Linked DNA regions of Oreochromis niloticus. The protein of the gene in region 1 interacts with the protein of each later gene in a biochemical or structural test. Links are inferred from orthologs where the notes say so. Each region holds a gene or a part of one and is shown in the gene's direction. Other genes may lie near its edges.

The links.
Region 2: the proteins of cullin-1 (region 1) and cdkn1bb form a complex in vitro, tested with the Homo sapiens proteins (2 studies listed by BioGRID, with this or other methods). The link is inferred for Oreochromis niloticus from reciprocal best matches to the Homo sapiens genes CUL1 and CDKN1B.
Region 3: of the proteins of cullin-1 (region 1) and senp8, one has a biochemical effect on the other in vitro, tested with the Homo sapiens proteins (2 studies listed by BioGRID). The link is inferred for Oreochromis niloticus from reciprocal best matches to the Homo sapiens genes CUL1 and SENP8.

Annotation. Positions count from the first base shown.
Region 1 is NC_031974.2:2,231,020-2,239,068, forward strand, and holds the start of cullin-1, read left to right. Parts: upstream 1-4,394; 5' UTR 4,395-4,581; intron 4,582-8,049. UniProt on the Homo sapiens protein: Core component of multiple cullin-RING-based SCF (SKP1-CUL1-F-box protein) E3 ubiquitin-protein ligase complexes, which mediate the ubiquitination of proteins involved in cell cycle progression, signal transduction and transcription.
Region 2 is NC_031972.2:46,454,723-46,462,676, forward strand, and holds the start of cdkn1bb (cyclin dependent kinase inhibitor 1Bb), read left to right. Parts: upstream 1-4,532; 5' UTR 4,533-4,928; coding exon 4,929-5,370; intron 5,371-5,593; coding exon 5,594-5,706; 3' UTR 5,707-5,712; intron 5,713-6,972; 3' UTR 6,973-7,954. Other genes in the region: yars2 (tyrosine--tRNA ligase, mitochondrial), read left to right, coding at 1-16, 173-328, 636-806, 2,809-2,968. UniProt on the Homo sapiens protein: Important regulator of cell cycle progression. Inhibits the kinase activity of CDK2 bound to cyclin A, but has little inhibitory activity on CDK2 bound to SPDYA. Involved in G1 arrest. Potent inhibitor of cyclin E- and cyclin A-CDK2 complexes.
Region 3 is NC_031965.2:11,166,444-11,174,567, forward strand, and holds senp8 (sentrin-specific protease 8), read left to right. Parts: upstream 1-4,703; 5' UTR 4,704-4,858; intron 4,859-4,864; exon of another isoform or gene 4,865-5,157; intron 5,158-5,862; 5' UTR 5,863-5,889; coding exon 5,890-6,555; 3' UTR 6,556-7,202; downstream 7,203-8,124. UniProt on the Homo sapiens protein: Protease that catalyzes two essential functions in the NEDD8 pathway: processing of full-length NEDD8 to its mature form and deconjugation of NEDD8 from targeted proteins such as cullins or p53.

The DNA of each region.
Region 1 (8,049 bases):
TGCAGCCATCTCTGGCCTGAATGTGATAAATATAAACAGTTTTGTGCTAACACAGGTGGTTCACTGCTCACAGGTACTCCAGTCTTTCACCTGTTGAATGTGTTTGGTTAGATTCACTTTTCTATGCAGGATTCTGTTGTATTTTCTTTACCTTTGTTTTTATTTTATTTGTAGTTTTCATTAAATCTGCAGCTGTGTCCAACAGACTGAGTCCGTGTGTTCAAGCTGCAAACACCGGAAATAAAAATGTTTGCTGCAACAAACAGACTTCACGTAACACTTCTTAATTATGAAAGTCGTTTCACTTCTGACCGACTGTGAGGTGTGGCCTGTGAACACATCACGCCACTCTCCATTCTTACATAATTCAAAGACAGCAGAGCAGGACTGACATAAACGGGCTGTGGCCACCCGCAGCAGAGAGGAGAGTCAGTCATAAGTTGTGACGCAATAACAATAAAAATGTTCACTTAATATTTACAATAAATGTTAAAGCAGTTGGTTTCTGTCTGAGGCATCACAGCTCAGTGTGGAAAGCAGCGCTCGTGCTCTTTGACATTTGGAAAAACTCATCTTCAAGATGAAGATCGCAAAGTTTTCCGGTGTTATTCCACGACTCTGAAACTGCCTTCAATGACGTTTCAGAGGTAAGACCGGGAATGCCTCACCTACGAGGTGTTTGAGGCATGTCCGGATTTCTGATTTCCACCCACAGGAGGGGTCGTAGGGGTTTGGTGCTTTGTGGATCAGGCAGCGGTCTGGGCTGGAGCCCCTGGTTGCTGAATCTGGCCAGTGATTATTTCTATTTAGAATATTTTAAATCTTTTATAAACTAACAGTTACAGTTACCTGCAGCCCAGCTGCACTAGAAATCTCCAACATCCGGCTGCTATGGAAACATGAAAAGCTCAAATTGTCAGGTGGTAGTTGATACAAGCTTGGAGAAGACACACACAACACCACCTGGAGGTGAGAGGGAGATTGTTTCTTTAGATTTTGTAAAACTTTATACATCTATGCACACATGTAAAGAATCAGTGACACCTGAAGCTTTAATTTACCTCCTGGGTCTCAGGATTTACTGATAAAGTGAAGCAGGAGCAGCAGCGGAGATCGTCGGGGAGGATTCACCTTCCCTTTGACTTTGATGAGGATGCTTCCTTGCTAGAATCCAAGCTTGTGTTTCCTCCCATGCCAGCAGAGGTCGTGTTCTGCCTGTTTCAGAGGCTGTGGCGGTGCACAGGGTGGGTAGACGGTGATGATTGACCATCACACTGCACAAAGAGGAAAGGTGACTGGAGAGCATTCAGATTCCTGTAGCAAAACACCTTCATGTAGAACGATCACAGCACAGTGAGAAGCACAGACACAGTGAACCTGAGGACTGTGGTTATTTTTGTAATGTTTCATTAGAATGAGTCAAATGCAAGTCAAAGGAGCCATTTGAATTCTTTGCATAACCTTCACATACACACATTAAAGGCCAGGAAGCTAAATGTCAGCATCGTGCTTCTGTATCACGCATGCATAATTGAAATGTGTCATATGGCAACTAAAACCCACCTTTGCGCATGCGTGACAGCTGTAGGGAAGCAGCTGTGAGGCCATGATTGTAGTCCTTATAGGGAGGCCACTTTGTGGAGCAGGTGTAGCATTCAGGGGATCCAGGGAAGCTCAGACATTTCAGTGTTAGAATGTTTTTGTTTCTTTGTGTTTGTTTTTCCAGTATTAAAAAATTCTAATTTCTGGTTATTTTAATGACAAAATATAAGGAATGTAATTAAAGTAAAAACTATTATATAAAGACAAGACAAAGAATATTAACTTTAAATCAATAAAATCTTTGAAAATTTGATTTTTGGATAAAAACACCAGTGTTTCAAACTGTTTTTTATCAGATTTGAATGATAAGCCTACACATGCATGTTTGAAATCATTTAAATTAAAGTCATTTAGGGTTTGGATCTTTGTTATATTTGAGCCACATGCTGAACAAGCGCATTTCCAAAAACTGCAAATAAAGTATCGTACATGTAGCACTCGCAGTTCTGCTGTCTTTACCCTGTTTTCTGCTGTAGAGCACAGATTAATGTTTAATTTGAAAAAAGACTCAATGTTAAGCTTAACCAAGCTGTGGGAACAGTAATATAAATCAAACATGCATGCAAAAAAGGTTTTAAAAACCCCAAAACATACTGTAAAATCACATGTATATGTGACCGGTGTGTTCCTGCGTTGTTAGAATTAGAATTCAACTTTATTGTCATTGCACATGTTACCAGTACCAGGCAACGAAATGCAGTTTGCATCCATCCAGAAAGTGCTTTGGCAATAATATAGATATATTACCAAATATGGATCTATTACAGGTATGTTACAATGTACACGGTGTGAAGGTATGTTATGTTGTGTCTGACAATGAAAGGTAAAAAGAAACAAAGACCTCAAAGTCATTAACTTGCCCGCTCCAGCTCCTGGGAAGAGGGTTAGCTCAACCCACCACAGCTGTGATGACAATAATTGAACTAAAAACATAATCAGAAACATCAGGGTGGCTAAATATACTGTATATGTGTGTTGTACAGTGTTGGAAAAGAAAGGACACCAACTTCTCCCACAGGGGAATCGTAGGAAAGGGGAGAGGCCAAAGGGGTACACTGTATTTATAGGGTTGCACCAAAGAAGAGGAAGAAAATGATGAGGAGGGGCTCTAACTGTTAATGATCATAACTACAGGCTTAGCTCTACTGAAGTTCAGCACAAACTAAAATCAGTTGTTTCTTTACATTAAACACAGTTATTTACAATAAGTACCATTAATAGACTGTAAACACAAAGTCTGAGCACAAGTTTTGGTTCTCAAAACATGGAAATTGGGTTTTTCATTAAATTTAAACAATGCATATTCAGTTATGTAATTTTGTGTAATTTTTGTGTAGCTTTATGAATGAATTAAATTAATAAATTAACAAGAGTATTAAATAAAATCAACAAAGGGTCTTTCATAAACGATTTGTAATCTCTGATATTGTTGAAAAAGACCTGACCTGCGATTGACCTCTGTTCTGTGTTTTTATTGTTATGGGTTTTACAAAGTAAGCTAAAGATATCTCCATTAGCGCCTGAAATACACCGGCCTGGTGAATAGTTTAGGTTTTATTCTTTGTTTGTTCTTTTGCAAATCTGAGTCTCATAATTATAGCTTGAGTTTATTCTTAGTAAGTAAGTTAATATTATTTACATAATAAATTTAAATTAATGCACTTTATATTAGAGAGAGAAAAACAGAATGTTTCTCAGGTTCTGTCTACACATGGTAGTGCTGGGATATGCTGCAAATTTTGGTATTGATATGATACCAAATAAATACAGGGCCAGTATTGCTGATACCAATACTGATTTATTTAACACAAATGAACACAATTCAGTGCGCTACATGCTGACCTTACAGGACAGAAACAAAGTATGGATCCAATACCAGTACCAGTATGGTATTGATACTATCAATATCTGGATCGATCCCCCCACCTGTAACACATAGTCACACTACTTGCATTAAAAAACACACAACAACAAACTGTCCATGAGCGACAGTTTCAGAGATCAGCAGGTGGTAAATGTTTGACAAAACAGGTGTTCAGCCTGTAACAGGCATGTTTTCCCCACATGTTTGGGGAATGTTAGCGTTAGAACAAAGTGTTCTCAACCTCAGCACCTATTTGTTTGTCAAATTTAAAATTGGTTAAAAGTAGTTAGCAGCGTTGCCTTGCAGCAAGAGGGTCCTGGGTCTGAGTTCACCAGGCTTACTGACAGGAAGGATGAATGTTAAAAGCAAAAACAACAACAACAACAACAAAACAGTCCCCCAACATAGATCCTTGTGGAACTCCAGATGTTGTAACTGCAGATACAGAGAAGTATTTCACAATTTAACTAGTATTGCATACAAAACCACTGATACACATCTATCCAAATAATCAGGGGGTAAATCATAAGCATTTCAACTTTACTGTCAGTATTTGGATTTTATTTAGACTGTATTATTAGTATTTCATCTGGAATAGTATTTTCACTTCATTTTGGAATATTCTGGACTTGTTTCTCCGAATGGAAAACTTGAAAGAAAGAAAAAACTTCCAATATTATTTTCACAATGTTATTTATGAAGTATTTTTTCAGTTACAGAAAAAAATGCCAGGCAGAGTTAAGTCAAAAATGTAAGTCATTATTTTAAAAGTTCAACTTTGAGGCAGTTGGTTTAAATTTTGTCTCACCTCTGTCTGGTATGTTTTTTTTTCAGTGGCAGAAACAAACGTCCGTATTTTGTAGCCCTCCTATTCTTTAATAATAAAGAGTGCATGCGTGTGTCGGCGGTGCTGTGCGTATTTCCGAGGGAGCCTGAAGGCAACTGCAGTCAGTGGCCGCGGCGCTGTGAGCTGATCTTTGTGCGAACGAAGCAGCGCAGCAGTCGTAGTTAGCCACCGACAGCAAACACACTCAGAGACGGCAGCGGGACACCGATTTTTGGCCTGAAAACAACTCATCCGGCGATTACAAAGTGACTGGGACTGCTTTAAAATGGTAAGGTGACATTTTAGAGCTGGGCCGGGGAAGATTTTTTTTTCTCTCAGCCTGTTAAGCGGAGAGCCAGCACGCTAATGCTAGGCGGTTAGCGAACTGTTTTCCTGACTCATTATTGAGAAGCTCGAGGAGCTAGGCTGCCATTTTACACCAGGCTGTTAGTCTGTCCTGGCCTCTGCCTTTGACTGTAAGAAGACAGCCTTTATGTTGAATACAGTCCCAGTACCACACATGTGTGTAAGCGATTGATAAATGTGGGTCACATAGAGGCTGTGCTTTGATTTGAAGCTGGTCCATCCAGCGTTCGGGCAGCAGACGGAGCTACCAGGCTAATCGAGCCTCAGAGGCTAATGGGAGCTAGCAGTATTGCGTAGCAGCGCCTGACTCCATTCCGGGGAATAATCACAGTGAATATTTTCCAAATTAACAGATACTGGGGATCATTATATTCCAAATATGTCCAAGTATCCGTCGGGGGTAGGCTTTTTTCGAGCACATCCCTGTGAACCGTGTGGTGCGGTGCGGTCTGGTCATTCGAACAGGACACACTCCTGGAACAACTGGTGAAGCGGAGCAGCGATACGGTCGCTCATTTCCTAAGATATTAGGAGAAGCTCGAAGTCAGAGGTACTGCTGACACTGAGCTGCCAGAGGGAAGCAGCTGTTGGAAAACGTCTGTTTTCATACTAATCGAGATTCCTGGATATACGTCCTTACAGTTCTCCTTAATTTAAATAGTGCACTTATTTTAGACCCTGATCGTTAAAACGAGATATTAAGAGTCAATGACTATTGCACAGGATTCTAACTCTTTACTTTAGTTCACTTATTATTTCTTCCCTTTTATGGAGTCCTAGTATTTGTCAGTATACAGGACAATATAGAGCAAAAGTCTTGAGTTGAGTTACACCTCACTCCTTTGTGTTTTTCTGGAGTAATGGGAAATATGTGCAGCGATTTATAAAAAATTAAAATATAAATAAAGCAAAATCCGAGTTTTTACAAGTCTAAGGAGTTTGAGCCATGTTATCTGAGCACTCTTTAAAAAGTCCTCCAGGCTTCAGACATTCAAAGCTTTTCTTTGGATGTTTGTCTTTTGTTCTGGTCCGTCAACATGATCCCACAGTGCTTCAGTGCTGTGGGGCTCTGTGGAGGTGAATCCATAACTGACAGTCGTCAGTTGTCTGTTTTCTATTCATATATGTCTTTGCTACACGGACAGTGTGTGTGTGGGCTCATTGCTCTCATGAGTAACCATGGTATTGTATGGTGACTCATAATCTAAACATCACTGTTTATAATTCTGACCATTGATACACCACTGGATGAAGCATGATAGGGCCCCCAGTGGCTGTAGACACTCACTGGTGTGCTGCTCTCCTCACCTCAGTACATATTGACAAACAGAAATTTTAAATTCGGATTGATACATTTTTCTTTCTTTCTTTGAGGGCTCACTGTACAACATGTCAAGAAATGCCAAGACTTTGGCTAATAGTGCAAGAAATGTCTTCTGCATTTTTATTAAATATATTCAGCTAAACAAATCAGAAAAAGTGATAGTTTTTTCCCTCTGAAACTGGCCTGAAACAGAGTGAAAAAGCAGCTAAAGTCCAAAGAAAAACTTTGACAGACCTTCAGAAAGCTGGAGAAATATTCCAGCAGAAAGTTTTGCTCCTCAGGGAGAAAAACATAAAGAAGTGAGGGCATTGCTGTTTAAATGAAGCGCTGTAGGGCACTTTTTTCCCCCCACAATGGCATGAAGTGTTTAAATATGTGTTTTTAGGTGTCGAAATAGACTCAAATTATGGTAAAGTCCAAGTTTTAAACTTTGTTGCATAAATCTGCATCTTCGGCAGTATGTAATTGTGAAATAATCAGCTCAAAATTGTGTAATCAGAGTCACCTTATTACCTGTGCTTTCTCCTTCTTTGAGTTTGTCCTTATATTGATTTTAAAGCTGATTCTCCCACAGTGTTTTAAAATGCTGCAGTTCAGATGAGTTTTAAAGAGAGAAGTTTCTCCTCAGGGTTTAACGCCTGCTAGTTTTCTTTATCAGGGCTTTTATTTTGAAGGACAGTGTTAATTATTGGATTTTCATGTACACTTTTGTCCTCATAAGTGAGGCGTCACCTATTTGTTATTAAAAAAGAAAACTGATTATAAGGCCAACAGGTGACAAAAGGCTTTTATTATAGTGGGCCAAAGACATTAAAGGTATTCACCATCATCTGTTTTACCGTCTTCAGAGTCTAAACACACAAAGATGCCAAAGAGCAGTTATATTTACACCTTTGTTGAACCTGTTACTGTCCTGCTGTTTTTACTGGCCCTTTTGCTCAAATGTAAAAGCTGAAAGCTGAAATGCGTGTCTGATGGTTCACGTCATCTTGTTTCTACACTTTTGTTCAGCACGTGCAGGTTCAACAGAACTTGATGGCCTGAGTTTAAAAAGTACGTCGAGCACACTGATTGGCCGGCTCCTTGCAGTTGAGTTCACCTGTGAATCAAACCTTTGCTTGATTTGCTTTTCATGCTGGTATCAACCGGTTTTACCATTAAATGAAGTGTTTGAGGTACTGAAATGAGGAAACGTTTATTAGAGTCGTGAAAAATACAGCGAAAAGGCGAAGAGTTTGTTTCACATTTGTGACTGAATGTAGATCTGCATGAACTGTAAACCGGGGTTTCAGAAGGGTTAAGTTAACGCAGACGTACATTAAAGAACAAGGTTTGACTTGAAACTGATCACAATCTAAACCTTTACAGCAGGTGTTACCTGATCAGCAAGCATGAACATGAAGAAAAGTGTTTTTCTTCCTCAGCTGTTCCCATCCACTGCTGTTTGTTTTACAGTGACAAAGCTGTGGGATTAGAAAGGAAGATGAAATGAAATCTGCCTGTAAACAGACAGACGTCTTGTTTGGCTTCCATCTGTAAATTTGGCAGATTCTTGTAAACCTTGCTGGAGTTTTACCCCAAAAACACACCAGGTGTGTCTTTGGTGCCATGACTGATGCTGTTTTGTTCCAGCTTTGTAATCATATTCCAAGTGTTTCAGAAGAACTTGGTCTGCTTGGGGTCTTTTATTTTGAAAATTGAGCTCATTCTCTCTGCTGATTCTGCATCTGACTTCCTGTCCTTTTCATCAGCTCCGTGGAGCTCGACACAGATTCCTTAAAAAATAATAAACTGGGCTCTATTTTAAGCAACGTGAAGCCTCGCCTCTTTATTTCTAGCAGCATACAAGGGCGAGTGTAAAAGGTGCACAAGGTGCTAAACTACATTTATCTTAAAAGCTTTAGTAACTAATTAGTTATTATTGTTATTTATATTAGTCAAAAAAATCTACTAATAAGTTGTTTTGTAGATGGAGCCAGCTAGGAGTATATGTAGTAATGGAAAAATGGTCCAGTAAAACTCTTAACATGTTCTGGAAATATGGAAAATGTAATGCTGGACACTGAT
Region 2 (7,954 bases), on another chromosome or scaffold:
ATGCCAGTGTGGAAGGGTATGTGGAAGTGAAGGCTGATCACGTTTGTTGAGTTTTAATGAAAGTGCAATATCCAGAAACATCTCATTGCAACCCTGTTTTTGTCCAAAAGTAACTATTCTGTGCACAGTCTGAGGTGTACTATGTGGGCCGTTTTTTTTTTTTTTTTTGTAGGTATCTGAAGTTGTTCACCTTTCTGCCTTTGGCAGAGGTAGAGAAACTGATGGAGCAGCAGAGAGAAGATCCAAGTAAACGCCTCGCCCACAAAAGACTGGCTGCTGAAGTGACAAAACTGGTGCATGGAAAGGAGGGCCTGGAGAGTGCAAAGAGGTAAGAATTGATCGTCTGTGTGTTTATTACTCTAAATTATATATTTTATTTTTTTGAATCCGTATACATATTTTATTCATCTGGAGCTCTTTCAGCTGTAACCTATTAGAGTCAAAGTGTTTAGAATAGCAGGATTATGCTCTGCCAAAAAGTTGAAAGTTGTAGAAAGTACAGTAAGAGCTGTTGAGGAAGATTCCAAACCCTTAACTATTCAGTGCTCATTGCTGTAGTCTTTGCTCGCTGTGGCTGCCCATGTTCTCTGTCTTCTATGTGGAAAGAATGGTCATATCTAATGTTGTCGTTGCAGATGCACCAATGCACTTTATCACAGCAGCGTGCAAGCCTTGGAGGAAATGAGTGATGAGGAGCTTCAGGAACTCTTCAGGGAGGCACCTTTCCATGAGCTGCTGTTGGAGCCGGGGACAACTGTTATAGATGCCTGCCGCAAGGTCGGCGCCATCCCTGAGGGACCCAGAGGGTAAGCACCCCAGTTCTCCTTTATTTAAATGCGGTATGTAGTGATTTGATGTTAGTGTGAGCATACATGCACCCAGAGATCCACAGTGTAATCTGCTGTGTATGGTGTGTAATGCAGTTACACATTCTGGGTAGTAGAGGTGGGGGGATTGATCCAACTGTCGATACCACCGATACCAAAGTTGGTATTTGTATCAGAACGAGAGTAGCAAGATAAGATCGATTCTTTGTTTCTATCCTCTAAATTCAGCATGCAGCCCGCTGAATTTTGTTAACCAAATTATTTTTTAGTAAATGAAACTATAATCTTCAATGAAAAACATCTGAACCTTTTTGAGTTGACTGTCACATCTATTTTATTTCTATCCTGTAGAACACAAGTGCTGAAGAGTAGTGTTTTTTGCAGCAGGTGCAGGAGTTTGTGGTCTCTGTTCTCCACTGGTACCGCTCACAGGTCGCCACAACAACTTCTTTGTGTACGAGGTGTAACAATAACACCCAGTCACGATCACGCAGTCAAATTTCATAAGCTGGTTTCCTGAAAAAAATAAGCATAAAGGTTTTCTTTGTGTTAGCCGGGTTGCAGCTGCCCCTACAGCCCGTGACCATGTAACAGTTTGATGTGTGCCTTTAGTGCAACGATAGCAACCAGTCACATTCACGCTGCCACATTTCAAAAAGCTGTTTTGTAGAAAACAAAAGCGTTTTCTTTGATTCTAGCTCTGCTGTCATGTAGTTACAGCCAAGATAAATGCCACATCTAAGGTGCATAATGTAGCAACAGCCCTGCAACATGTAAACAGTTAAATGTGTCATAATTATAGCTTACCAGCATAAAAATGTCATGATCAGATTAACGTGTTTTCAAAAATGTTGTTGAAAAGTTTGTTTCCTTCTTCTGGCTACTACCCAAGCCGTGCAAAGCTGCAAAACGAACCCAAATCATCAGCCCTCCACCGCCGTGCTTGACAGTTAGTATGAGGTGTTTGTGATATGCTGTATTTGGTTGACTCCAAATGTGAAGGTCAAGTATATCCACATTGGTCTTGTTTATTCAAAGGACAGTTTGCTTGTTTTTTTCTGGAGAGAGGAGGCTTTTTTCTGGTAACCCTTCCAAATAAGACTTGTTAACTCTTTTCTAATTGTACCATCATGAACTTCCGCATTTAAAAATGCTAACAAAGGCCTCTACTGTCTGTGATGTATCTCTTGGGTTTTTTGGAGTTTCTCTGAACATTGCATAGTCTGACCTTGGGCTGAATTTGCTGGGATGTACACTTGTCTGAGGATGGATAGCTCCCTTGAATGTTTCCGAGTTGTGAATAATCATTCTCATTGTACAGAGATGGAGTTGAAATTATTTGGAAATGACCTTATGACCTTTTCCAGTGTTGATTTGTTAAGGCCACTGCTGTCTTTCCTTCTTGGCACTATGTTAACATGTGCCTGAATGCCTCAGACCAGTAAACTGCCAAAACTTTTATATAGGTGCTCACACTTGTAAATGATCAGTTAAGTCCATGTGATTAGCAACACCTGGATCCTCCTCACTCTCTAAATTCCTATGGAAGAATACAGAGTGTACTTTCTTTTTGTACTTGGGCAATAGTGGCTCAAGATTTGGCAGTTCGTCTTGTGATCAGAAGGTTGCCGGTTCGAGCCCCGGCTCCGACAGTCTCGGTCGTTGTGTCCTTGGGCAAGACACTTCACCCGTTGCCTACTGGTGGTGGTCAGAGGGCCCGGTGGCGCCAGTGTCCGGCAGCCTCGCCTCTGTCAGTGCGCCCCAGGGCAGCTGTGGCTACAACGTAGCTTGCCATCACCAGTGTGTGAATGTGTGTGTGAATGGGTGGATGACTGAATGTAGTGTAAAGCGCTTTGGGGTCCATAGGGACTAAGTAAAGCGCTATACAAATACAGGCCATTTACCATTTCACGTGACTTTTAGATCATCTTTTTAAAGATGAAACCCTGTCCTAACTGACGGTGTAAATGTTTGTGTGCAGGTATCAAATGGTTTCAGATGGAGCAGTGTGGATCAACCACACGCGTACAGACAACCCGGAGCAGGTACTGATCCCCAAACTCCACATCCTGGCTAATGGACTCACGCTGCTCAGAGTGGGCAAGAAGAACTTCTACATTATCAAGTGGCTTAGCCTCTGACGGTGCCTTATCAAGCAGGGGACCACTATATTGTAATGGACTAACTGGGAAGGTAGGCGACTACACCTCAGCAGAGTCAGGAAGGATCATTTTTCCCTTTTTTGGATATAAATATGTGTATGTACAGATTAAATGTTTATTTAAAACCATCCTATTAAAAGCGTTTGATATCACGATTGCTTCCTGCTTACTTTGTATGGATATTGAGAGTCGGTGTGATGACCACTAGGGGGCACCATTGCCCCAGAATTAATGGTGGCCAGCCAGCAGCCACAGCTGCAGCACATAGCCTGCTGTGACCTCTTAAGTAAATAATTGCTCACAGTAAAATTAAATTGCATCATTTCTTGCAGGTTGCTTGCTTCTATTTTAAGCAAATCCAATTTGTTTCATCTTGATCAGAACCTGAGGCGAGCATCTTTTTTGACATCACTCTTTTGTTTGGGGTTTTTTTAGGGGTTTTTCTTTTTTTTTTCCCCTTCAGTGGAAAAGTGTAAAACTTGGACGATAAAGAAAAAGAAGCTGGAAAAAGAAGCTTGATAAATTTAAAAACAAACAGTACTTTTGCTTGAAGATCACCTTTTTAAATAGAGCCTTAAATAAGAAAAAAAGTTTGGACATTATTTTCAAATTAAATTCAAAGCAGGGATTTGTACATTATTGTTGACCTGACTTGTGTTGAAAGCAACACATCTGCTCATTTTTAGCAGATTACTGTTTTTTTTCTAACAGATCCCTCCTCCTTGCAGGTAATGACCAAAACATTTAATCTAGTGTCCTCAATATGAGAGTCGGTGTAAATTTAGAAATCACTGCTTTGCACTTTTGCACACCCTGCCTACTTTTTTCCAGATTAGGGTTAAAAACATAAAATTAAAATTTTCCATATTTTTCTTTTTTTATTGGTAATTTCTAATGGGATTTGGATGGTGCTAGGGATTTGTGTAAACCTGCTAAGTTTTTCCTGAGGTGTCGGGGAAAAAAACTTTAGCATTGAGTACTTTTGGCTTCTTCTTTTTTTTAATTCTAAATTTGCTGAGTTCTGATACTGTGTGGTTTTTTAGCAGTGTGTTTTTTGTGTTGTTTTTTTTGCTCTGGGTTCTGGTGGCAGTGTGGACAGAGTCTGATGTGTGCTGACCTTGACCTTCCCCACTGAGGTGCAGATAATTGGTGGAAATGGCATGTCATAAAGATACACATTAGCCAGATTGGCACAGTTTTTTTTTTTTCTTTTTTGCTTTGTTTGTTTTGTTTTAATTTAATTGTTCTGCACCTGTTAGGAGTGATTTGTTATGCTATTTTTTATTTCAAAGATTACAATTTATCTTATTTGACACAGCCATGACAACATTTATTATCAATTACCTTTTTTTTGTACATCCTTTTTCCCCCACTCACAGTTATTTATTATACGTTAATTACAGAGTTACATATATACATGACACTCACACGCTGATATTTTTTGTTTTAAGGGAAAAAGAGAAATCAGAGCGGCTTAATTTAGCCGGTCCACCTTAAGAAAAGTAGGCGGGCTTAAAAACTCTGACCAATGAGCGACCTCTTTGGGAATTTAAATAGCTCAGTATGTCAATCATGCCCCTACCCCCACATCAACCTTTCGCCATATTGGGCGAAAGAGAAGGGTTGTCTGCAGTTTCTCTCGCTACGGGACAAAATTGACAGAGCGCCTTCAGTTCCTGAGCACTTTGTTTTGATGAGACTACGCAGGGCTTCACAACACGGCGGCTGTTCGCGTCTTCGTTCCGACGTATGCATGGCATAACGCGTTTTACGCTTGTTTTGGAGCTTTCTCAGCGAAGAGGAGATAACCGTTGTTTTTGAGTGTTGTGTGTGTGTGCGCGTGTGTGTGCTGCTTTTTTGTTTGTTTGTTTTTTTCCTCCTCGTGAAAAACTGGACGCTCCGGGCTGTTTTAAAAAATTGCGTGTTTCGCTGGAGCAAAATGTCAGATGTTCGACTTTCAAACGGGAGCCCGACGCTGGAGCGGACGGACTCACGGCAGTCTGAACACCCGAAACCCTCAGCCTGCAGGAGCCTCTTCGGCTCGGTGGATCACGAAGAGTTAAAGAGGGATTTAAAGGGACATTTGCGGGAGTTGGAAGAGCGCGCCTCCGACCAGTGGGGCTTCGACTTCGCCACTGACACGCCGAGGGCCAACTCCAGGTTCGAGTGGAAACTAGTGGATTGCAGAGACCTGCCGGGCTTCTACACTCGGCAGCCGCTTACGAAGAAAGGCGTCTGCTCCACTGGGAATAACAATGTGGATCTTAACGGGAATCACAGTTGTGTTGTGGTGCCTCCGAGCGAAGATCCCGACAGGGCTGACGGGCAAATGGAGTGCACGGAACAGTGTACAGCGCTGAGGAAAAGACACGCGTGTCACGGTACTACATACGCTCCAGTTTAACCCGTTTACATCAGTTGTTTCTGAGCAACGCAGCTGATCGCGTATTGATCTGCACCGAAAATAGATTTTTGAAAATCATGGCCCCAAAAAAGCACTGTTAAAGAGTGGGGTTTGCCTGCAACACTGTACCAATATTTTTTTTATTTTTTTTTTTAAGAAATGACGAAAATTTTTTTTTTTTTTTTTTTTGCTTTTTGCAGACTCCCCTGTTCCGAGCAAGAGGTCACACAGCAGCTCAGATGTTAGTTGTCCAAGTCGGAGTCACTCTGCAGAGCACACGCCCAGAAAGACCAGTCCCAAGAGGAAAACGTGAGAAAAGGTAAAGACTGTTTATGCAATAGTTTCCCCTTTTTTTTCATCTTTTTTTTTTTTCCATTAAGGAAAAGCAAAGATTTCTTTAAAAGAAAAAAAAAAAAAGGCCTGTGCATAGTGTAACTACAGTAGGCGGTTTACTGGCCGCTCCATCTCCCAGCTGGGGGGTACCTTTGGAAAACGAGTAAATCTGCAAAAACATCCGTTTATTCATTTAATAAAAATTTGATACCGCTTATAAACCATTAGGAGGCATTCTAATTCAGCTTAAACACCCCTTCAGTTCACTTAAATAAGATTTGGATGATGCACAGCTTTGACAGTCTGCATACCTTTTGTGCACGCCCTTCAAATGTGCTGTCAGTCTGTCTCATTCATTAATCAGCGGGGACAGAAGCATAAGGGAGTAAAAGGGGTTCTTCGGTTTTTTTTGGTTTTTAATTTTCCACTCGGGCAGAGAGAGCTCTGTCGATACACTGCGATCGAGGTGAAACAGTGGAAGGCAAAACAAACAAACAAAAAAAAATGCCTGTACATTTTAAAGATCTTTAACATTTAACCGCTGTCTGACACGGTGAGTCCGTTGAGTTTCCGTCGAAACTTGTAAACAACAAGTGCTGAACAACAGTGTAGTAGTGTAACACGTCAGCAACTCAGAGCAGGGACGGGAAGGGGCTGGTCTCTGTGTGCAGTGCTGCACACGCGTTGCACACTAACGTTACAACACACATCTGTCCCTGCCGGTGGAGAGTGTGCAGAAGAGTCGTGCAGGTCTGAAAGCAAGTGTGTGTGTATTGGCCAGGGCGACGTCCAATAGGCATGAAATCAGCATTGTTATGGCACGATGTTAACTGTCAAAGCTGGGGGGTGGTCACGTCTTTTTAATGCATTTTATTTATTTCCATTTTTTTAAATTGTAGAAATCAAAAAATACCCCCAAACGAGGCTGTCTCATAGGCACTTTCAGATCTTTTCATGATTAATGAGGGGTGCTAATGTAAAACTATACCAGTGTTTTTTTTTTTTGTGTTTTTTTCCTCAGGTGGGTCTTTATGTATTTATGTATTAATACATGTACAAAACTGATTAGTTCATTCAGGTCTCCTGCTGCTCTGAGGTTTACCCCTTAGACCACACTAAGTTATTTATTTTATTTATTCATTTATTTGTTTGCAGAAATTGTTGCATAATGCCCACATTAGTGTCATCATTGCAACCTCTTATGCTTCTGTTTTTTCTTTCTCCTTTCATCTGTTTTGTCCCACAGAACTGAAGATGAATGCCCCCCCCCTCCTTGTTTAACATGGAGAAACCTCAGTGTTGGCTGGTTTGTTTGTTTGTTTTAGGGGTTTTTTTGTAATTTTTTTTTTTGTTGTTGTTGTCGTTTTAGTTTAGTGTTTTGTTTTGTGGGGGGTTTTTTTGTTTTGGGTTTTTTGGGGTTTTTGTTTTTTTGTTTTTGTTTTTTTTTGTTTTTTTTTTTTGTTTGTTTTTTTTGTTTTTTGGAAGAGGATCTACACAGCATCAGAAACATATCAACCTTCCTGAAGATTGGGGAGGACGCTGTTGAAGCACTGAATAGAAACACTAAATTTTTTTTGGCACTTAATTAAAAGTTACTGCCTCTAAAAGCAGTCGATGTAGCAGTGTGCAATTAGGTTTAATTTACTTTGCTCCTTTTTTTTTTTTCTTTTTTTTTTTTTACTACCTGTGTGTAAATAAAATTATATATATATATAAATATATAAACATATATTATTTCTCTCCATATGTAGCACATAAGACATTATGATTTAAAAAGAAATCCTTTATGTAAAACGGTGTGAATTTTGATTTGACTTGAATTGCAATGTTTGATAAATGTTTCCAAAATGCTGTTCTGTTATTTTTATTTTAGTTTTATTTTTTTTGGGGGGGGGGGTTGTTGATACGGTCCCTTATTGCTACATTTAAAACAAAAATCTTGGCTTCTTACAGTTTCTTAATAGTGTTTCTTCCCTCGTCATCTTCCTAACTCAGCATTGAAGAATGGTACAAATGTAGCGTTTTTTGTTGTTTTTTTTTTTAAATAATTTTTTCCCCCTTCTTCTGGTCAGTCCAGTGTCACAAAGTGTAAGTTCTCCTATACAAGCTAGTTCAACAGGAAGAAGTGTAGTATTTGTGTAAGGACAGTCTTTAAGTCAATTGATATTTATTTTGTAATTGAGGTGCTTTTAGCATCAGCTGAATCCTGGAATAAGATTATTATTATT
Region 3 (8,124 bases), on another chromosome or scaffold:
ACAACTAGTTATCTTTACGATACAGCTGACTGACATATGACTGGGTCGTAAATAGACAACCGGTACCTAGGATGTCCATTAACAGCAACAAAGCAACGCATGACAAGCACATCGTTTACCTGTGCATGTGCCCCCCCACCTTTTTTTTCATAAATCTGAGTTTTTGGTTGCAGTTGTCATGTAAAAATAATCAAAGATTTCAGAATTACAACCATCGCTGTGTGCCAGCGAGTGTGAAACAAGAGGCAACACTTAAGAGTTTCATAGCTAACAGATACACTTAAGCATAATCTCACAGTAGCCTACATCATCTTCTCATTTACTGCGCTGATAACTACAGTAAAGATTAGACAGCAGAAGAATGCCAGCTATTAGTGAGCATGTCTCGGACTGCATTCGAAATCCACCTTATCGCAGCCTGTTTGCTGTCTGTTACCCACGGCTATCTCCGCTCTTCCTCCCCTTCTGCCTCATTCTGACAGTGAACAGACTACCGTAAACTGCCAGGATTTCTCACAGATAACAACGGCAGTGTAGTGCAAAGACAGAACTTTAAACTTCATTTCTTCCTGTCCTCTGGACTGTCCTGCAAACCAGCAATAACAATTCATAAATCATATTTCTCTAAGGTTTTAATATTATATTTGGCGCTGGTTAAATATCCAAATCTATTGTAATGTTGTCTTCTTCTGCTATAACAATATTCAAGGCTTTAAGAAAACGATAAACTCAGTCAGTTCAAAGTTTTAAGTGGTTTCGAGGTAGGAGCACTCTGTAGGTGGACAGAATTGTGTAACATTACACAACAGCACATGCCTGGGGATTAACCACGGGCTCTGTCCAGTCTGTACCATGAGGCTGCAGGGGGCCAGTAGCTATTGTCACAGCTGTGTCACAACACACACCCACAAATCCACAACTTTAGTTTCTTGCTTATAGTCTTCTGTCATCATGCACAGTTTTTGCAGATACACAGCTGTACTTTGACAAAAGTAGAATTCTGAAATTAGTGTTTCTATGGGGCTTAAACTCTGTGTTTTTTGGGGGGGGTTTTGTTTTTGTGCTCTAATTACAATTTCCACAATCCGTCTAAGCCTTAAAAATTCAAAAAATAAATTAGGATGCAAGTGAGAATCCCCGTTCACACACCTATTCATTTAATTAAAATAAAAGAAACCACAAAGGTTTTGAACACTTTCTTCTCTGTCCAAAACAAAGACACAGAGGATTTAATTTAATTTAAAAGGATACAAAGTGAGCTTCCAGCAAGACCAGTGCTGTTTGTTCACTCTGTTTCCCCATTGTGAAGGATTAATTAAAGAACAAGTTAGGCTTTTTTCACATAAACAAAATTGCAAAGAGCAACACAATGCACTTTCTTCTCTCTCCATCTCACTCCAACTACTGTTAGCACCAGCGAATTAATGAGGGGAAATGCAAAACGTGGGGAAGCTGAGCCTGTGAGGCCAAAGCCACCCTCAAATAATGGCGTACTAAAGAAAGGAGAGCTTTGTTCAGTGCAACACAAGCAGGTTCCTCTTTAATGACTTCATGTGCATGCCAATCACTTGCGCCACACAATCTCAAAACGCAGCCACGCCACTTTTCAGGATAGGCCAAAGTTTTAAGCAGGCAGCATGTGACTGATAGCAGCAGGTAATTCAGTCCAGCAGGTAACACCTCAGGGGATGATAACTGGAAGGTTATGCTAGAGTTTAGACGAACGGTGCCCATGGGAGATCACAGGAGCTCTGGTGGATGAGCAAAGAAGTAGTCACAAGACAAATGGGCTGTTAGTTCTACTCTCAAGAGAACAAAACAGCATCTATGAGCTAGTGGTAATTCATTGTTTTAAGCACATCACAGTTACAGTCTGTGGGTGTTTAACAGGAGCAACTTTGTTGTTGCAGGTTATTAAGATCTGTGCATGGCAAAAATAAAATGTGTTATGAGGAGGTCTTTCAAACGAAACGGGCAAGTGTAAGTAAAGATTCGATCTTAGTGTTACGTAGACCCCAATGACATCTTGAAAACCAAATAATGAGTTACTGTATTATTTTTTCAAAATATTTAATTTGCCCCCCCCAAAAAAGCTTTAAATTATACATATAAAACAGTCACTTCCCTTCCTATGCAGCTTCTGCCATCACTCTTTGAGATGCGCAACTACTGTGAACTGGAAAATCCTCAGAGAGGCTAAAACTGTTCAGTTTCATTTTCCAAAGTTTCAATTTCAAAGGCACTGAGTTCAAGTTAGACACAAGGAGGAGGGCCAAAGGAAGGCCACACACTGGCTCTTCTTATTGGAGAATGACAGTCAGCACTGACTAAGTCCCAGACTGTAGCGATCAAAAGAACAGCTAAAACTTAGTATGGAGCAACACTACTTTGCATATGAAGGTTTGCGATTTGGTAACTCGAACCTTCAAAAACTTAAAAACATTTCTTTAAAGTATTCCTAGTAAACCACAGACTGCCTCCAACAACAGCAGTGGTTAGCTCCTCTGAGGAGCTCAAATCTGAGCCCTAAGCTGCTAAATCACAGCTTCAATCTTTCAGGTGGCGTCTGCGAGACCGTTCACTGCACACCGATGTGATACAAAACTGAGGCCGGTCCTTTAGAAATAGCAGACAGAGGGGTCTGTGGGGTGTCAGATGTCAACAGGGACCAGTTGCTGGAGTCTCAGCCCGGGCTTCTTCTCATGCTGCAGCAGCTGTGTCTTCTCAGACCTCACATTCCTGCAGGACAGGCCCACTTTACCCTCATCACCTGTGCTGATCTGAGGGCAGGACAAGCTCTCAGGGGCACCTCACCCACCGCAACATTAATTTAAGTCATTTTCCTTCCTTCCTTCCTTCATTTTTTTTTAAAACAATAATCATCTAACACCAAAATGAATATTTGAAAATGATCATAGAAATAAAAGTCAGGAGCATGCTGACAGTCTATGGACTTTTGCACAAATTGGATGATCTTCTGGTGACATCTGTCCATTTATAAAAAGGTATAAAAAATTACTTAAGGTAATCAGTAAGCACAGCAGATCAACTCAACACTAACTTGCATAAAAATTAGGCTATAGTCTGTTAAGGTAAACTATAGTAACTATACTATAAAATCGATAAAAACCCACTCAGGTGCATTCAAGATACACAACCATCCCATGTAAAATCTGTCTAAAGTCAGCTCTCCATCCACAAACACACGTACACACACAGAGAGACACAATGCCCATGATTCAGCAGCTTCTTCACCCCATTAGACCTCCCTGTACAATTACAGCTGCTTTGCAGTGCATATTGCCTTCAGTGCATTATAAGCTGCTCTGTCTGACCTCCACTAAATAATACATGTAAACACTTACCCCGCCCTGCCGCAGTAATAGCTCCCATTTCTGCAGGACCGTGAATACATAACACCTGATTTATGTCGCAGTGACATATTGTGTACGGTTTCATGTACGTATATCCTTATTTTTGCTGTCTCAATCTTTGCATGCATTGGTGTTCCCCTATGCTTTTTGCAAACCTTGTTTGAGCTTGTAATGGATAAAAAAAAACGCCCCCTGTCAATGGTTTGCAGATAAAAATGAGCCCTTTGTAATTTGTATTGTGCACTATCACAAATAAAATGAAAGAATAAAATAAATCCAGCCTGCATTTATCATGTTACATGTGGTTGTTATTCTTATAAACTGTCCTTCAGCCAGCTGTAGCTGTGGAGTAAGCACTCTCTGTAGTGTGAAATGACATCTGAGTGAGGAGCAGCCAGAACTTTTTACAGGCTCACATCACACACAGCTCTGACAGAGATTCCTCAATGAACAAAAGCACCGACTGAGCCCCCCAAAACACACACACACACACACACCTTAAGTCTGCCAACTGAAAACGATGCTGCAAATGAGTGCAGGTCATAAGAAGTTTCTTACGGACTACAACTGAATCATAGGTTCACTGGCAGCTTCCAGCCAGACGCCTATCGTCCCACAGCGGGGCAGCCCGACGCACCACAGTAGATAACTACTACTAAACATCACTCTTACCTCCAGACGTGAGCTGTAAAGTCAATTTAAAGTGGCACTTGAGTTTTCCCGTCTCTTGTCAGGCTTGACCGTGGAGCCACACACACTTGTAGGCACGCAAAAAATCACAGTCTCTATTTAATTCCCTGCATTCCCACTGAATTAATTTGCTTTCTTCTCACTCGCCTCACTTGCCTCCGAGCAAAGTCCTCGAAAGTCAAGTCCGTGTTGAAAACCTACGCATTTTTTCTTTTTCTTTTTTATCCGAGCATGTTCGCAGTATGAATCCAATTAAACGGCAGTTCTTCGCTGCTCGGTCGCTGAAAACTCCTCTCCGTCTTGCTAATCAGTGCGGCTCAGCATTGCGCGTTCACGCCGCTGATGGGAGGGGAGAAAACACGGAGGGGGAGGGGCGGAGCGAAGCAACCGGAAGTACCCTGAAACACACAGGGCAACAGTGACCACACTGCACCTCTCGGTTTCCGATAATGGATTATAAACTTTTGGGGTCATGTTAGAGTTTTTAAAAAAAAAACATAAAATGACGGAAATCCACTTGATTTTAAAATGCGTGGTTCTCGCCTTATTCGCTGTAAAATGCAAAGAAAGACACTTCTCCAGTGCTTGCATGTAACGACACAGAATGTCAGTTTTTCAGTAACGCTCACGCGCCCATACCCGAATGCAAGGAGCCAATCACAAGCAAGCTTATCTCCACCCCACTGTCGCAAAATGTTACGGTCTTCTCGCCGTGGTTTACGATAGTCATTGCAATGAGGGGCATCACCGCTCGTGTTTTCGTGGTACTTTTAATTTGAATGTGTCATTTACAGGTAGGACACTAAACGGACACTGTGTATTTCAGTTTGGCAGCCCACGGTTGATGTGGCGCATGCTCAGGCTGCTGTTTAACTCAGTTTTTTGGCTTCGAGTGACGCTAAAAACTGTCGGTTAGCGAGCTCAAGCTAAAAACGCAGGCTCGCTTGAGCGGAGAGCTGCCTGCTGAAGTAAACGCATTGCAGTAATGTGATGCTCCGCAGTGGATTCCCGGCCCAGCAAAGCGCTACTGTAACATCTCTGAAAATAACCTGATCGGCCAATGCGCTAAGACGGCTCCAGTTAATGTGTCTGAGTGAGTAATAAAGCAAAGTAGCGAACAGAAAGTCAACAAGGATCCCAGAAACAGGCAGCCTGCGTTAGCTTCAGTGAAGTTTAACAGTTTGTGCGAGTTGCTTAAATGAACACAGACTGTGACTGCGTTTGAATCACTAGTTCAGGATGAGATCTGTGGAAAAAAAAAAAAAAAAAAGCTTCATGTTTGAAACCAGTGCCAGGCTGTTCTGGCCAACTGGCATCGGAATGAAGCCTTTTGCATTCTCTAAGAAACCCAAATGACTCCTTTAAATTCGGCAGATTGCTCCCCCTCCCTAAACCTGTTTCTGCTGGAGCTTTCTTCCTGTTAAAATTTAGTTTTTCCTTCCCACTGTCGCCCAGTGCTTGCTCAAAGGGTGGTCGTCTGATTGTTGGGTCTTTACCTTACAATATGAGGCTGCTTGAGGTGCAGTAGTTGTGATTTGGTGCTGTATAAATAAAACGGAATTGAATTTATTCTGTGAAATTACTGCTCTGCTGAGTAGTTGATCAACAGCTGCTAAATAATATTGCCTGTGACATCACAGCATCCTTAAGGTGGTATGTGCTGATTGAACCTATTGTAGAAACCAGCAGTACGAGACAAAGAAAAGCAGTTCTCATATTAAAGAAAACACAAGGAGTAAATTTCTGATGAATGAATTAGCCGAGCCCTAAGCATTAAATCGTTTCTCTGTATTTTCAGACTGACACACTCTGACTGCTCTGGAGGATGGATCCTGTAGTGCTGAGCTATCATGACAGCCTGTTGCGGCGCTCTGATGTCTCTCTACTGGAAGGACCTTACTGGCTTAATGACCAAGTCATTGGTTTTGCCTTTGAGTACTTTGCTGCCGAGCGCTTTAGAGCCCTGGGGGAAGCCGTCATCTTTATCAGCCCAGAGGTCACCCAGTTCATCAAGTGTGCTTCCTGCCCTGATGAGTTGGCATTGTTTCTGGAGCCACTGGATCTTGCTTCTCGTCGCTGGGTCTTCCTAGCCGTGAACGACAACTCGAACCAGACCGCTGGAGGGTCCCACTGGAGCCTCTTGCTTTATCATCACAACTCCAACCACTTTGCCCACTATGACTCTCAAAATGGCAGCAATTCACTTCACGCACGGCGCATCGCCAGCAAGTTGGAGCCTTTCCTGGGCGCAGGGCGGAAAGCGCTGTTCGTCGAGGAGCCCTGCCCATCCCAGCAGAACAGCTATGACTGTGGCATGTATGTTATCTGTATTGCCGAGGCCTTGTGCGAGAAGGCCCGGGTGGAGGGCTCGCCACGCCTTCCTGTGCAAATGATCACCCCAGCCTACATCACCCAGAAGAGGGCCGAGTGGTCCAGACTGATCCAGAGCTTAGCTCAAAATGACCTCTGCTGCTCGCTGTCTTTCCCTTAGCACGTCGATTGCCCCGCACTATATGCAGAAAAGCTGTCACCCCACATATCTACTGCTGGAGAATCTGAATGCACTCCCTCAATACAGTATATAACTATATATATGAAATCTATTTCTATTACAGTCTCTGTCCTACTCCATTATCAAAAAAGTTAAAAACATAAAGCAATGCTTCAAATATTTAATGATTTCAGAGAACTATTGGTGTCGTGTATATGCACAGAAACGAAAAGTATGTAAACAAGAACACCAGCATGCCTATAAAACAGATTTTCTCCTGTGTACATATTGAGCGAGGATGTGGAAGAGGAGGCACAGACTTTTTTTTTTTTCTCCATTTTCTGAGTTTGGAGCGAATGTAGAAATGTTTACACAGATTATTGCTCAGGGTCATTTTAAATGAACTGAATTGACAATAAGAATGTGCACATGAACTCTGGCTCCTACTTTTGTCACACAGTCATTGTGTTCGTCAGCTTGAACATGCATACTTTTAGTTTTTGAGATAATTTGAAGAATTCCTGCTGTATGAGGGTGCCGACGTGCTGTGAGTGTTTATGGAACAAAGGGCAGTGTTGGGTGGTGGAATGTATCCAACTCACTGTCTGTCGAGCTAATAAATGTGACTCTTGTCACGTTTTTGTTGACACAGTGGTACAATTATTTATTATTTTTAATTTTCTTTCTCTTGTAATTTAAGTCATTTTATGTCAGAAAAATTAACTGCACGCTGGTTTACAGGTGGTTACATCACTGAGGAAATTACATTTGCAGATGTACTGAAGCTTAAATGTGAGATTTCTAGATTTTTATTTTAACCTCCTGTGTTATTGAATGCAGAAGTGTTGCAAGCACTGTCATAAAATATGGCACCCAAATGTTTATCTGCTTTTGAATACCTTAAGTTTTAAATGTTCCTATTTGGGTCATTAGTTGAGTGTTCCTTGGTGATGGATGATGACATGAATCAGTATCTTAAAAAAGTGCACTAACAGCAGTAATTTAGTACTCAAAGTGGAATGAAGCATAATATTCAGGTTGTTACATTCAGCAGTTAAAGGCCCAGCTGACTAAGAAAAACTAAGCAGAAAACATAAGTGGCAAAGTATTAAGTTCACTGTATTTTAATTGGAAAAAAAGTGGCTTTAATGTGTTTTTTCTTTACAATGGTAAACACGAGCTTCAGTTTCAAATCATGACATCAGTATACGTGTAAGGAATCTCAATGAGCCAAATACTCAGACTTCAGACTGCTTTGCATGCGACAAAACAATTTTTGGCTTCCTGTGATGTCAGTGAGAGCAGATATTACTGATGACATCGCAGACAAACAGCTCTGGGTGTCAGCAAATAAGTCCCGGCCATCTGCTCTTTAAACCTTCTGTTTGTAAGGGGCAACCAATCAGAAGAATGTTAGCTTAAAGGCAGAGCACGCAAAACAGCTTGTTTTAGAGAAGGGAATTTGAGGACCTGCGCCAGGGTCCAGTATAAGATGAAGAAAAGTCAGAACTGCGAATCATGCACAGCTACTTTAATCAAGTAAAAATAGAAAACAGAAGGAGCTGGAAA